Saccharomyces cerevisiae S288C: one gene and its partners. Changing the gene in region 2 together with the main gene of any one other region gives a genetic interaction. Each region holds a gene or a part of one and is shown on either strand. Other genes may lie near its edges.

What was found.
Region 1: mutations in CDC9 (region 2) and UBP10 impair growth when combined (synthetic growth defect), as found in Saccharomyces cerevisiae (one study listed by BioGRID).
Region 3: mutations in CDC9 (region 2) and CST6 together harm fitness less than expected from each alone (positive genetic interaction), as found in Saccharomyces cerevisiae (2 studies listed by BioGRID).

What each region holds. Positions count from the first base shown.
Region 1 is NC_001146.8:287,977-292,376, reverse strand, and holds UBP10 (ubiquitin-specific protease UBP10), read right to left. Parts: upstream 2,880-4,400; coding exon 501-2,879; downstream 1-500. Other genes in the region: mitochondrial 54S ribosomal protein uL11m MRPL19, read left to right, coding at 1-184; SWT21 (Swt21p), read right to left, coding at 3,310-4,383. UniProt on the Saccharomyces cerevisiae protein: Deubiquitinating enzyme involved in telomere and HM loci silencing, which is the repression of chromatin structure which leads to a stop in the transcription of nearby genes.
Region 2 is NC_001136.10:164,487-169,912, forward strand, and holds CDC9 (DNA ligase (ATP) CDC9), read right to left. Parts: upstream 2,769-5,426; coding exon 501-2,768; downstream 1-500. Other genes in the region: CCR4-NOT core subunit CDC36, read left to right, coding at 1-379; ENT1 (epsin), read left to right, coding at 3,228-4,592; MHF2 (Mhf2p), read right to left, coding at 4,880-5,122. UniProt on the Saccharomyces cerevisiae protein: DNA ligase that seals nicks in double-stranded DNA during DNA replication, DNA recombination and DNA repair. The mitochondrial form is required for mitochondrial DNA maintenance but is non-essential while the nuclear form is essential for cell viability.
Region 3 is NC_001141.2:283,918-287,929, reverse strand, and holds CST6 (Cst6p), read right to left. Parts: upstream 2,265-4,012; coding exon 501-2,264; downstream 1-500. Other genes in the region: casein kinase 2 catalytic subunit CKA1, read left to right, coding at 1-140; pheromone-regulated protein PRM2, read left to right, coding at 2,931-4,012. UniProt on the Saccharomyces cerevisiae protein: Transcriptional activator of promoters containing ATF/CREB sites. Can independently stimulate transcription through ATF/CREB sites. Important for a variety of biological functions including growth on non-optimal carbon sources.

The DNA of each region.
Region 1 (4,400 bases), on a different chromosome or scaffold from region 2:
AATGTTAGGCAGTGCACCTGCCAAGGGACCAACCCGTGCTTTAGGAGAGTTATCGCTGAAGCACGTTTACGAAATAGCCAAGATAAAAAAGAGTGATGAAAGGCATAGTTTATTGGAGATGGAAGGTATTGTTAAATCAATAGTTGGCGTTGCAAAAAGTATGGGTATTAAGGTTGTACCTTGATCTGTAAGTAGTGAAAAGACAAAAAAGTACCGTCAATTTCGAGAAATTTTCAACAGACCTTCCTTCTTCTTTCTACTGATCTATTCTGTAAATATGTATATAAGTTTTAAATTCTCTTTCTCCCGTTATGTTAGCAAAGCTCGGTAGTACTGAAGCTATTCTGAGTAAACGCTTCTCCAACTCTGTATACTGAGAGTTGTTTTATAAGTCAATAAAGACCGGATATTTATATGTATATATTGATTTGGTATAATAAAAATGAAATGCTAATAAAAATGCCTATGAAAAGAGGAAAATCCAGGAATATCGAGTTTTTTCATTTGGTGAACTTCCTTTTTTTATTTTTTTTCCATTTTTTTCTGTTATTTTTCTTGCTATTAATCTTCAATGGGCGGTTATTTGGTTCGTTAACAGCCTGTTCCTGTTTGGATTTAGAGGTAACATTACCAGTGGCCATGGCAGATTTCGCCAATGGCAATGGAACCGATTTTGGAGTTAGCCTCGTGTATAGGAGATAATATGCGTTGGGTTCCTTTAAAACGTCCCTTTCAGATATTATATTAATATACTCGTCGTCGTAAGTGGCCCAGCTACCGTCTGGTTGCTTGCAGTGGGCAATGTAGTGACCTGAAGAAAGGGAGCGGCCCTCATGAACCACCACGCTTAATAGTTGGTATTTGACAGGTAGCTCTTTACTCTCACAATATTCCGTCAAATCTAAAAACATAGGATAAGAAACAGCTTGCTTCATTTTTGATGAGGACGTGCCATTGAATCTGAATTTTTTCAGATGCACAAGTAAAGTTTCAGGAGCCCTTAATATTGAACTATGCTTCACGGCGTTCGTGGTCTTGTGACACTTCTCACAAACGTAACCCTTTTGCTCCTTGTCAACCTTGATTAATTCGGGATTGAAGAAATCTTTAATTGATTTTTCAATAGAAAATCTGCGGTTGGCTGAACTTAAATCACTGGCAGCGGCAAATGGTGAGCCATTGTTTAAATTGACAGATGAAGAGGATGAAAGAGATGGTTTTGTGGCAGCATTGGAGGTAGTGGTAGAAGTGGTGGCTGAAGTGCCGTTAATGCTATCACTCGACAGGTCAGAATTTGGATCAAGTTTTTTCTTCCCTTTCAAGTGCAACGATAAATCGTAAAATGGTTGTTCTGTTTTAGATATACTGCCACAAGATTTGCAAGTAACGATCTGCTTTAAAAGACCACCGAATATGTCATATATTATCGATTCTATAAGTTTATGACCCTTGGGAACAGAATCTTCCTGTAATCTTGACATCAGAGACATGAAGTACTCATGTGAATCTTCCTGCTGCCATTCGCTCATCATACAATTAATGTCATCCAATCTGGAAATCAAATGTTTTGGATTAATGTAGGAAGCTGAAACGTTCTTTCTAGGGTTTTTTGAGACCGGTAACCACATTTTTTTACTTGTTTCAGCTAAAGTATAGGAAACGGAATTTTTTGAGATGGTGCTATCGTATTTCCCCATTAGTATATCAAAAAGATAATGTTGTATCGAAGGAATGTGTAACATAGCCTGTACAGCAGCATTTGTGTAACAAGTAACACCATGATTCAAAAGGCCACGAGGCTTCAAATTGGTGAATTTGTCGCCCCAATTTTTAACAATTCTAGTAGAGTTTAAAGAACCACGATCATTGATATTTTCATTGAATTGGTAAAAGTTTGATAGATTTGATATTGTAACCGGAGGGGTGATTGACCTAGATTTATGTTTCAGCTCTTCTTCCTCTTCTTCCTCCTCCTCTCCCTTTGGATTCCTGTTTCCATTTTCTTTGGTGTTGTTTACTGGTTCGTACCGATTTACTTCCACTGTACTATTTTCCATTAAATCTTGATATAAACTCTTTTTTTCGCCTTCAGAAATTTTGGAGCTGGAATCGTTCTCCTCTTCTTCAGGGAGCTCTTTTTCCATAGCACTAGAATCATAATCCATGTCATCCTCATCCTCGTCGTCTTCTATTTCGTCATCACTGCTAATGCTTGTAGACAGTTCCTTTCTTTTTTCCTTTTCATTCTCATTAGATGAATCATCAATGGTTGCTAATGGAGAACCCAAGTTTTCACCAATGTCTTCACCAATGTCTTCACCGATGTCTTCACCGATGTCTTCACCGATGTCTTCGCCGATGTCTTCACCATCGCCCTTATCTGCGTTGTCGCGTTCCTTCAAACTAGCTTTTCGGGGTTCTACATAGTCTCTTGCCTCATGAAATATTTCACCCTCTTCCTCTTCCTCTTTTCCTACTTTGTCATCTTCCGAAGAAGAGGAAGGAGGCTCCGTAGAAAGCTCCGTAGAAAGCTCCGCTGACTTCTTGGCACCAGTAGCATCTGCAGCATCTTTATCATTTTTAGAAGTATACAACAATAAAGCTTCAGCCATAGATTTAGGAACAGTGTTGGTTTTCTTTCCGTTTGGCCTGTCTATCAAGTTATTTTCTTTTATTTGCTTGGATTCGGCCGTTGCAGCAATAGCTGTGCTATTACTATTGTTATTATGCTGTTTTCCTATCACAATATACGAGCTATTTTCCGGCGCGGCGGAAGTATCATTATTATTCGATTTGTTAGAGATCATTGCAGCATTGAACTGCAGGGGATTTGATAGGATTCTATCTACCAAAGGTTTGATCGATTCTTGAGTGGTCATAGTCTGTGATTGTGATATGACAATAGGACGGATTTACAGATACTATGAGTTGTAGATTCTTTCCGTTAGTTTTTCTATGAAATATTATGTGCAGTACAGAACAAAAGAGGCTTCAGACACTATGCATGCTCCTGTGTGCAGTATATGATGCTTAATAGCTTCTATGAAACAAATAAAGGACAGAAGCGGGGATGGAAGACTCTGTTAATGCTTTACAGGGAAGTTTTTCCCGATGGTGGCACTATATAAAAATAAGAACTTTTTTCTTTTCTTTTGGGGATTTTTTTCGATGCGAAAAAAATTTTTTGACGGCATGAGGCAAGAAGTGAACAAAAGAGGTGGTGTCTGGGGGATGCAATTTAACTTCTTACTTGTGCGCGTTCATCGGAGAAAGCTGGCCGGGTGATACACGAATACGGGTTTGCCGTTTTTAGCCGCCGAACCTGCATAATGAAATTGTGCCCCCATGAGATAGGGCGAACAGTTCGGGATCCCCAGGACAATTCTTCACTACCGTGGCAGGAATAGTAGAATCAAGGTTAGTGCGCCACTCTGACTCTGGCGGGATAGACGTGATTAGTGGGTCTTCAACACTATTGTGTGAGGGAACACCTCCAAATTCCACAAGGTCTCGACCCCAGTTCAATATTGTTCCCTGCGGCGTCCCCATACTTAGTCCGTAAGCCGTATCTATATATGCCTTCAACTTTGCAGAGTTGTGGTGGATCCGAAACGGTAGGCGCAATACGTTAAGCTCGTGCTGCAGGTTTCGCCGATCGTAAATACTAATCGCGTCACTGTTGCGTCTGACAACGTACACGTAACGCCCGTTATCGCTTGTAAGGATTTGTACAATCCCACCTGCAACTGTGCGGGTGTAGTTCAGTCTCTCTAGTCGTTGATGACGGCAGTCTACCTGAAACATTTCATTCGCATAACTGCCACACAATAGAGATCCTCTTGAGAGAGCTTGCCCTCCCATTGGTTGCTCTTCAAAGCAAGATATAATGCTTTGTCTTCCCTTGCTTGCTTTTTTGGTACTCTGGTTCATCCACACGGCATCTCGTCTGCTCTTGTCGTATATCGCCACTTTGTTACGGCATGAGCCAGTGTATACACGAGACTCAACATCGATTTTCACACTGTATACAGTTTCGTATTCTCCATTTATTTTGTTCATCGTGTCATAGCTGAGGATACACTGCCCGTCCATCAAAGAGTATAGTTGTAGAGGGAAGTTTTTTCCTCCAACCACGATTCTGTCACCAGCTAACCTGTCGGAATTCTCGTTATAAAGCGTGTAAAACGGGTCTATTGCACATGAAACAATAGACTGGTTTCTAAAAAACCTTGTAAATGGTAGAAGGAGGTTTCTGTTTAGCTTGTCCGTATTACTTTCCTCCGGCACTAAATATTGTCTGATGCCAAAATCATTATGCACAGAAACAAACGATGTACCATCACATGACCAAAAGATATCTTGACATATTACCTTCTTTTCCATTCTGAAGTCGTCTGTCA
Region 2 (5,426 bases):
CGAAGTGGAGCCCCGATTTTTCACACCAGAATCATTCACCAATATTCCGGGCGTATTACAATCCACTGTAACTCCACCATGCTTCAATTCCATCCAAAATGACCAACAGCGTGTTGCCCTTTTTCAAGATGAAACTCTATTTTTCCTCTTCTATAAACACCCTGGTACAGTCATCCAGGAACTAACGTATTTGGAACTCAGGAAAAGGAACTGGAGATACCACAAGACGTTGAAGGCCTGGCTCACCAAAGATCCTATGATGGAACCTATTGTATCCGCTGATGGTTTAAGTGAAAGGGGATCATATGTGTTTTTTGACCCACAAAGGTGGGAAAAGTGCCAAAGAGATTTCTTATTGTTTTATAATGCTATTATGTAAGGTAGACAGAGAAACGAAAGAAGTAAATAAATGTCATTATATGTGATGCGGCGTTTTGGAGCTGAACAGAACGCCCTCTTTTTTTTTTTTAATGATTAATTGAGAAAAATAGTGTGCACATCTAATTTTGCATGTGGGATTGGTTTTCATACAATTCGACGATCTGGTCAGAAGAGGTTGCATCTTCTACGCCCTTGTCTTCTCTTATACGCAAAAATCTTGGAAATCTTAAGGATACGCCTTTATCAAAAGTTGCACTACCTGCTTTATAAATAGGCGATAGGGAAAGGTCTGCAGTCAAAACTTCAAACAAAGTCGTAGGTTCGAACCATACATCTGGCTCAGCACTCGAATCGAAAACAAACGTGGCTTTTGGTCCATCAATGATCGTCGGGGTCAACCTGTCGTGCAAAAGCTGCAACATTTCGTCCGAAAATCCTGTCCCTATCTTGCAACAAGTTTCAAATTCTCCTGTGTCTTGGTTGTAACATCCTAGAAGGAACCCACCGTACGTACCAGTTCTTTTTCCTCTACCATAATATGCCCCCAACACGCAGAGATCCAATGAATCTCCAACCCCCTCCAAGTAATCTTTTTTTAATTTCAACCAGTTTCTTGACCTTTTACTTGGTTCATAATGGGATTCAGGGCCCTCCAACATTTTGACCATCAAACCTTCGCATGAGTGATTAACGGACTCATCAAGGAATTTTTGAAGTTCATCAAGGTTATTTGTTGTTATCTGAGTCGCGTATTGGAATTCTCCCGGGACAACTTTTGTAACCTTCGTCAAGTATTCTCTTCTTTCCTTTAGTGACTTATTAATCAGCCTTTCATCGTTGTAGCAAAGTATATCAAATGCAAAGAGACAGACTTTAACTTTAACATCATTCAGCTCCACGTCTTTACGTTTCCTTGTACTTAAGACCTGGAAAGGCAAAATTTTCCCCTGATCTTTGTCCCAAGCAACAGCCTCACAGTCTAGAATTAAATTTTTGGTAGTATCCAAATCCTGGATAAAATCCGTTATGTTAATTTCTGGATATCTCTCAGTCATATTCTCGCCATTTCTGGAATAAATCCTCATTGTACCATCATTTAGTAAATGCACCTGAGCCCTTTCACCATCGTATTTGTATTCTGACGTAAAAGTTTCGCCTTGAAATCTATCCAATACTTCATTAATTGCCTTGGTAGGCTTGGCTAACATGGGTTTCAATGGAATTCCTGGTCTTAGAGTACAATATTTATCTAAATTCATAATACCGTGTTCCAGGCATGAGTTTATAACAATTTCATAGTTGGGTACTTGACAAAATGCGTCTCTTATCTTTTGTTGAGCACTTTCTAACACATCCATGGGGACATCTTTGTCTGGAGAGTCCTCCCTATTTTCATCATGGAGCAAAAGAGCCTTCGATAGGGATATTAAGACAGTCTTTTCAGCAAGACCGATTCTCAATTTTGACTCTAGGGATCTAATCAAAAACTTAGCCTCTATACCTTTGCAAGCAGTAAGCATTCTCTTGATCAGCTTCATCTTTTTTAATTGTGAATCTTTGCCCTGAGTCTTAGCAATAGCTCTAAGATTTTTGAAGACCTCACCCACGGTCAAGGGTTTGGGCTTAAACATAGTGGGTTGGACATTTCTCGCACCCATTGCTATTTCACCCAAATCCCCAATATCCTTGTATTTAAGTTTAATTTGGCTCATGGATTTCCCGCAAGTTTCGCTTATGGTTTTCATAAGAAGATTTTCTCCAAGGCCTAATTCCAAGCCTGCTTCGTAGTCAGGGCCCAATCTATTGATGAAAAGGTATGTTGTAGGTATTAAGTTCTTAGACGATTGCTTCATTATCTTAATAAAGAAATCAGAACAGATTCTTATAATCTCTAAACGGGAAGATATGGCCTCAATCTTGTTAAAAACCTCACAAACTTCAGAATAGGGGATATTAGACGAATAGTGATCATTATTATTTGAGCTCAAGGCGTCTTCAACTTCACCTACCAACCTCTGAGATTGTTGCGGTGAATCAGCAACACCGGAAGAGGGAGCGGATGATGGTATAGAAGAAAAATTGCTACCCATGGAGCTTGGAGCTGCTACAGTATGTGTAACAGCCGTCTGTTTCAATTTCTTGGTCGCGTATTCCTCTTCCCCACTAACATTATCCATTCTATCTTCCAGCATATGTTTGGATGATTTTTTGGGAGAAGGAGTACCTTCTGTTGGCTTATTTTTCATGGAAGTGAAGAATCTAGCCAAAGTGGCTTGTTTAGGCTTCTTACCGGCAGAGGAAGGTAATGAGGATGACATCAATAATGGCAATCTTGATTTCAAGGGACGTGCAGATGAAAGAAGGCAACCGGTCAGTAATCTGCGCATGTAATTGATGAACAATGACGTTAAAAGCTGCTCTAAACCTCCAAAATCATTACTTTTATTTTTGAACAAAGTACAGCGAGATGCAAACGCATGGCTTATTGCAGCTAAATTTCACTTTCACGCGTTTTCGCGTTAAGGTGAAAAATTCCATCAGCCATCTCAAGTGGAGGAACACATCGAAGCGAGCAAAAAGATGACAGAGTTAAACAGCAATAGAACCAGCGGCTGCAGTACGAATTCCTATTGCAAGTCTTACGGAAGGTTGGTGGGGCCTTATGTTGTTCAAAGTACTTGATTTTGGAAGTATGGTTGTCTGAAATTGTGGCTACGTATAGAGAATCATCCGGGTAATGATGAAAGTTTCTTTCAATGACAAATAGGAGTTTTAAGAAGTAGAAGAAAGAGCCGTTCGTATGAGTGCCAGGATCAGAAGGAAAGGGAGCAAGAGGCAGAACAATCATGTCGAAACAATTTGTTAGATCTGCGAAGAATTTGGTGAAAGGGTACTCTTCTACCCAGGTCCTGGTAAGAAATGCAACGTCAAACGACAATCATCAAGTGTCCAAGGACTCGTTAATTGAGCTGGCTGAAAAATCATATGATAGCGCAGATTTCTTCGAAATCATGGATATGCTGGACAAAAGACTTAACGACAAGGGCAAATACTGGAGGCATATCGCAAAGGCATTGACAGTAATAGATTACTTGATCAGGTTTGGTAGTGAGAATTGTGTTCTTTGGTGTAGAGAAAATTTATACATCATCAAGACATTGAAGGAGTTCAGGCACGAGGACGATGAGGGCATAGATCAAGGTCAAATCGTTAGGGTCAAAGCAAAAGAATTGACTGCATTACTATCTGATGACGAAAGACTGAACGAGGAAAGGAACATGAATATCAAGGGAAGAAACAGGAAAGGAAGAAGAAGAAGGGGAACTGGGCGCAGTGATGAAAATGACGATGATTTGCAAAGAGCCATTAGTGCTAGCAGGTTGACGGCGGAAGAAGACGAAAGAAGAAGAAAACAGGACGAGGATTATGAAACAGCTTTGCAGTTGAGCAAAGAAGAAGAGGAGCTAAAAAGATTGCAAGATTTACAAAGAATGCAACAACAGCAAGGCCAACAACAATTGCAACAACCTATGTATTATGATATTTTTGGTAACCCAATCACTCCTGAGGAATACGCACAATTTCAATTGCAACAACAGCAACAACAGCAACAACAACAGTTGCAACAACAACCAATGTACTACGATGTATTCGGGAATCCTATAACACCCGAAGAACTAGCACAGTTTCAACAACAACAACAACTACAGGAACAACAGTACTTAGCTTCTATGCAACAGCAGCAACAGGCAATGTCCAACAATCCATTTGCCAAATCAGAACAGAGCTCAAGTTCACCAAAACGGAACCAACTAGTAGCAGCTTCTTCTCCACAGCAACTGCAACAACAAAAACAACAAGAGCCATTGATTCAAAACAGGACAGGCAATCAATCAATGACAGACAAGTATAGTAAACTAAACGAGCTACTAGCCACAGGAACAGGTATTGATACATTCGGAAATGTAGGGGAGGCTCGTATTCCTGCCCAACATACGAAGACAGGAACATTCATCAATTCTCAAGGAACAGGATATAGGCAAGTATCGGATGATCCAAACCACAATCCGTTTTTGAACAGTCAGTATACAGGTTTACCAAGCACTAGCGTCGTACCAACACAAACAGGCTATGGCTTTGGTAACCAGTCTCAACAGCAGTCTCAAAATAATGGCTCAAATAACCGGGGATATACTCTAATTGATTTATGAAGTGATTCTGTCATTCCAGTCCGCATTTCTAATCAGATGAGCATTTTCTCGCATCGCATAATATATATGGACTAAGTAATTTAATCATTTCACAGCGCGTTTTGATGCAAGCGTTTAGTATAAAATGAACTGTATATTTGTATATGTGAGCGCACGATCGCTCCAAAAACTACTTTAGTAAACTAACGTAGTTCAGGACGACTGAAAGAAAATATAGTGCTTTAAATTTATCAGACAACCAGGAATGTCTTATGTCTTTACATGGATGTAATGTAAGTTGAATACTTTTACATATCCATCAGAAGAAGCCCTACGATACGCTCTAAATCTTGATGCGATAACTCTAAGGGACTTTTATCGCCACGTTCTCCGTTAATGTCCTTGTGAGATTGCAAGGACCGCAGCACCGCCTCATCAATGAATATATCCAAATATTTCTGTATCATTGGTACTACTTCATCGGCAATTTTCATATCATTACCACCTTCATTTTGGCTGAGGATTTTTATTAACGCTTCTTTAGATAACATCACCACAATTACTGTGCTCTGTACTCATGTCCTTTCTAAGTGCAATAATGTAAATTCTAACACGCTTTTATGTATGATTGATTTTTGATATTTTGGCCCGAAAGATAATTCTGGTCTCCCGGAAACATGAAGATGCAGCAAAGTAAAAAATAATAGGTAAAAATAATAAAAATACATGTATCTTTTTGGTTGGTTAATTTATCTAAACAGTTTTATATATATATGTATATATATATATATATATACACAGTATTAATATTCTTTCCTTGAGATTACTCTCTATAAAAAAAAAAAAAAAAAAGCT
Region 3 (4,012 bases), on a different chromosome or scaffold from region 2:
ATAAACATTTAAGCGGCAACGATGAAATTATTGACCTTATTGACAATCTTTTGAGATATGATCATCAAGAAAGATTAACTGCTAAGGAAGCGATGGGACACCCGTGGTTTGCCCCAATAAGGGAACAAATTGAAAAATAAGAAATAAATAATGAATGAAATAAAAAAAAAAAAATCACTGACAAACGATATAACGATTACTTTTTTTTACCATCTGTACAATTGTACTTAATTCTAATAGATTTAAAAAACTAAATACAGGTTTAAAGGGCTTCCTCCATACAACAGAGGCAAGGAGGACTAAGGGGTTGACACGAGCAAATTTCATACATGCAAAATAATAATGTCTTAAAGGTAATTTATACCATAAATGTAGTAACTAAACGAAATAATAACGGCAGAAAAGAAAGGATGCAGCTCGAGTATTTATACACGTATATTACATATATAGTTGTCCTTATCATTCTTGAATGAAACACCGTTGTGCTCACCAAAACTTTGTTATTTTATCTTTTCAGAATTGGGTAATGATTGGTTGTCTGGATCCTTACCACCTTCTACGGGCTTGAGATCTATATCGTCATCGTCAGTATCGCTTCCGAAACGTTGAGAGTATGGCTCGTGCTTGATGGCTATGATCTTACCAGTATCTTTATCCACTTCTGTAACGTCTGAATCGATCATTAAAAGTTCTTCAATGATCTTTAATGAATCCACAGTCATGCTTTCATTTTTGTTGCTACTATTAGTGCCATTAACATTATTATCTGAGTCTTTATTTAGTTTTTCATGTTCACGTAAATGAATTTTGGAGAATTTCTTGAATTTAGAGATTAGTTTTTCATAGTAATTTAACTTTTTCAGTAAAATTCTATTCTCGTCTTTAATTTCGTTAAATTCCTTTTGGAGCTGCAGCTGCGCAACCTTTTTCCTTTGTCTACATTTCGAAGCTGCAATTCGATTTCTTTCTAACAATCTTGCTCTCTTCCATGCCGTAGTACCAGGGATTGGATTTCCCTGTGTGTTCGCCGCTAAATTTAAATGAGATCCTTGAGATTTTGGAGTGAAGCTAGGATTAGAGTGAGATTCCCTAAGTGCAGATTTGCCCCTATTTTCACCTCCAGTAGTTGGCGCAAACGTCGTCATGCCTTCCAAATCACTTATACTCTCCGCTGGAGTATTCTTTGATGGCGCGTTTACAAAATTTCGCTGCTGACTTTTCGAGTAAATAACGCTCTGATCACCCAATGCGGAGTCCTTCGTGGGATTAATAACTTTTTTTGCATTGTATTGTGGAATACTACTAACCGGCACTGCTTGGTTGAAGACCGGCTTGTTTGATACATTCCTAGTTTGGCTCAGACCATTATAATTGTGAAAATTGGGCATCGGGGGCGGCTGTGTGTTGTGCAGGTTTTCCAAAGTTTCAATATCTTCGCCTAGCTGGCTTATTTGACCGTTAGAGATTGATATTCTTCTTCTTCTAATTGGCTCATCGCATCCAGGCAAAGAACTTTGGAAAATTGGTGGATTCGTCATAGGTAAATGTGCTACATCAACACCAAAAGGTTGAAAAAATGGCGACAATGTTTCCAGGATGGATGGATCGTTCAAGGCATGTGGGTTGTTATTCATATTCATGTTCATGAAATACATCTGCTTGTTCACAGAAGCCGTATTGGCGATGTTGGACGCATTAGTCGGGGCTGTAGTAGAATCATTCGGAGCGGACTTACGGGTAGACGACAGTTGGCTCAGATTTGTATGAGTGGCCAGATTCTGATGCATATCCTGTACGACACCAGAATTCATCAGAATATCACCGTAGAGTTGGGATTCCTCTTCAGTTTTCATAGAGGGTGACTGTTGTCGCTGATCCTGCTGTTGCTGTTGTCGAAGGTATGCAGCCTGCTGATAGTTTGAATTGGCGCTGGGTTTAACAACCCGATCATGCGAATTGACGTTTCCAGCTGCAATAGAATATTGTGGGGTTAAAGAATTTCTATTGGAAGTAGTATAATCATGTATTTGGTCAACCACACCAGCCATATTTGTGCTATAGTTTATGTCAGTAGGATCTAAGGATCTACTTAAAGCAGAATTGTTCATAGTAGAAGTGGTGGTGGCGGCGGCAGAAGTATCACTAACAGAGTGCGGTATCTTATTATTCAAGATCTTTGATGTGTCATCAATACCACGTTTATTGTTGTCTTTTTGCTTGTTGGAATTAGAGTCTACGGAATGATACTCCTGACCAGTAAACATTATCCTACCAAAAAGGTGTGGGCTTATACTTTTTTCTTTACTACTTTAGATCTTTTTAGATCCTTTTGAATCTTCCAATTGAAAGACTGCTTTAAAAGCGAGTTTTTGATTTAGAAACACCAACAGATACGTATACACGATAACCTCTATAGCGGTTCTATTTCTGTTAACAAGAAGGTACTTGAAAGTGATAACTCAAAAAACAAGAGTACAATATGAAAATCTTTTGCCTTCATTGTCATTGTCATTGAATCCCCGATTATCATTGTCAGCAATTTCGGAGAAGGGGGCAACTATGTTCCGTGTAAGGTGATATTACTCAAATGTGTCACAATTTCAACTTCTGGGAATAATATTTATAATAGTTGAGATTATTCTTGATTATAGAGGCGACAGCTTATCTTAATTTTCGCCAATAGGTTTGGAAGAACATTGGTATTTTCATTCGGTGCAGCATTTTAATTCAGAATTATAACCGTCCTTGTACGGTTATAACAGCACATTATTGAAAAATGTTTTAAAAATGTTTCAGCCCAGTAATAAAACATTTACATATGCTATCTTGGCCCTTTATATAACATGTAAAGCAAAAAACTAGAACACTAACATGGCTTAAGTAGCTGAAAATCTACACCACTTTTCGATAAAACTAAGAGTACGGCAAAGATGAACAATGTACACATAATTAAACCTTTATCACTTCCACAGAGGTTTTTTAGTTGTATTTTCCATCCTCTATTACTGATATTCTTTACTTCTGTTATTTTAACTATTTGGGGTTCCTTTTCAGTCATTGACATTACAATGGCAAAAATGTCTCACGCACAGGTCAAACGAAATGATACCGTCTCAACCTTTGCATCTATTTCAACTGCTACAGCGACAGCCACAACAACGGCCACAACAACGGCCACAATGACAGCAGTCACAACACAGCATGCCATATATTCTGCCAACAGTTACTCTTTAAATAAAACATTCATTGATAATACAATTGATCAGTATTTCGAAAGCAAACTACGGAGTATTGAATCTACGGTAGGTACGGATATGCAAGAAAAATTCAAGTCATACACAGACGACATACTGGATAATAAACAAAAACTTATCAACGACCAAATAAGTTTGGAAACTGAATTGATTAAGGAAGTTCTTGAGGTAAACAATACAATTTTTAACGAACTACTCACTAAATCACAGCTGATAAATGACACATGGAATGAAATATCAGAAGACGCAATGACCATTGATAAGGATTCCATTTCACAAATGGCATCAAACCTACTGTTAAATTACTCCATGTTTGACAGTATTTTTGGGAACTACTCAAGGAAATTGAAATCATTGCAGAACTTCAATGGCACTATCACTGACTTTTCTACTCAATTAGATACCTCTAGTACCTTAAGTTTGAATTTTCTACGAAATTCCACTGACTGGCTTCAGTTGAAAAGGAACTTTACTGCAAACTTACAGAATGAAATTTCCATTTTATCTGGGGGGAGTACCGAGGTTACATCGTCTACTTCAATAATTAAACGGTCTCTGAAAACAAATAGCGAGGAAAACAGTGTACTAAGTGCAGTAAAAAATCACGTTTTCCGTAAATGTAAGAGAATGACAATAATTTTCACAGTCATGTACTTTGCATTTGTGATTTTGCTCATGGCAATCGAAAGAATTCTGTTTCAGCTGGAAAATCAGCAAGTAAACCTGGTTATGTCCCAAATTAATGGCCTGACAGGACA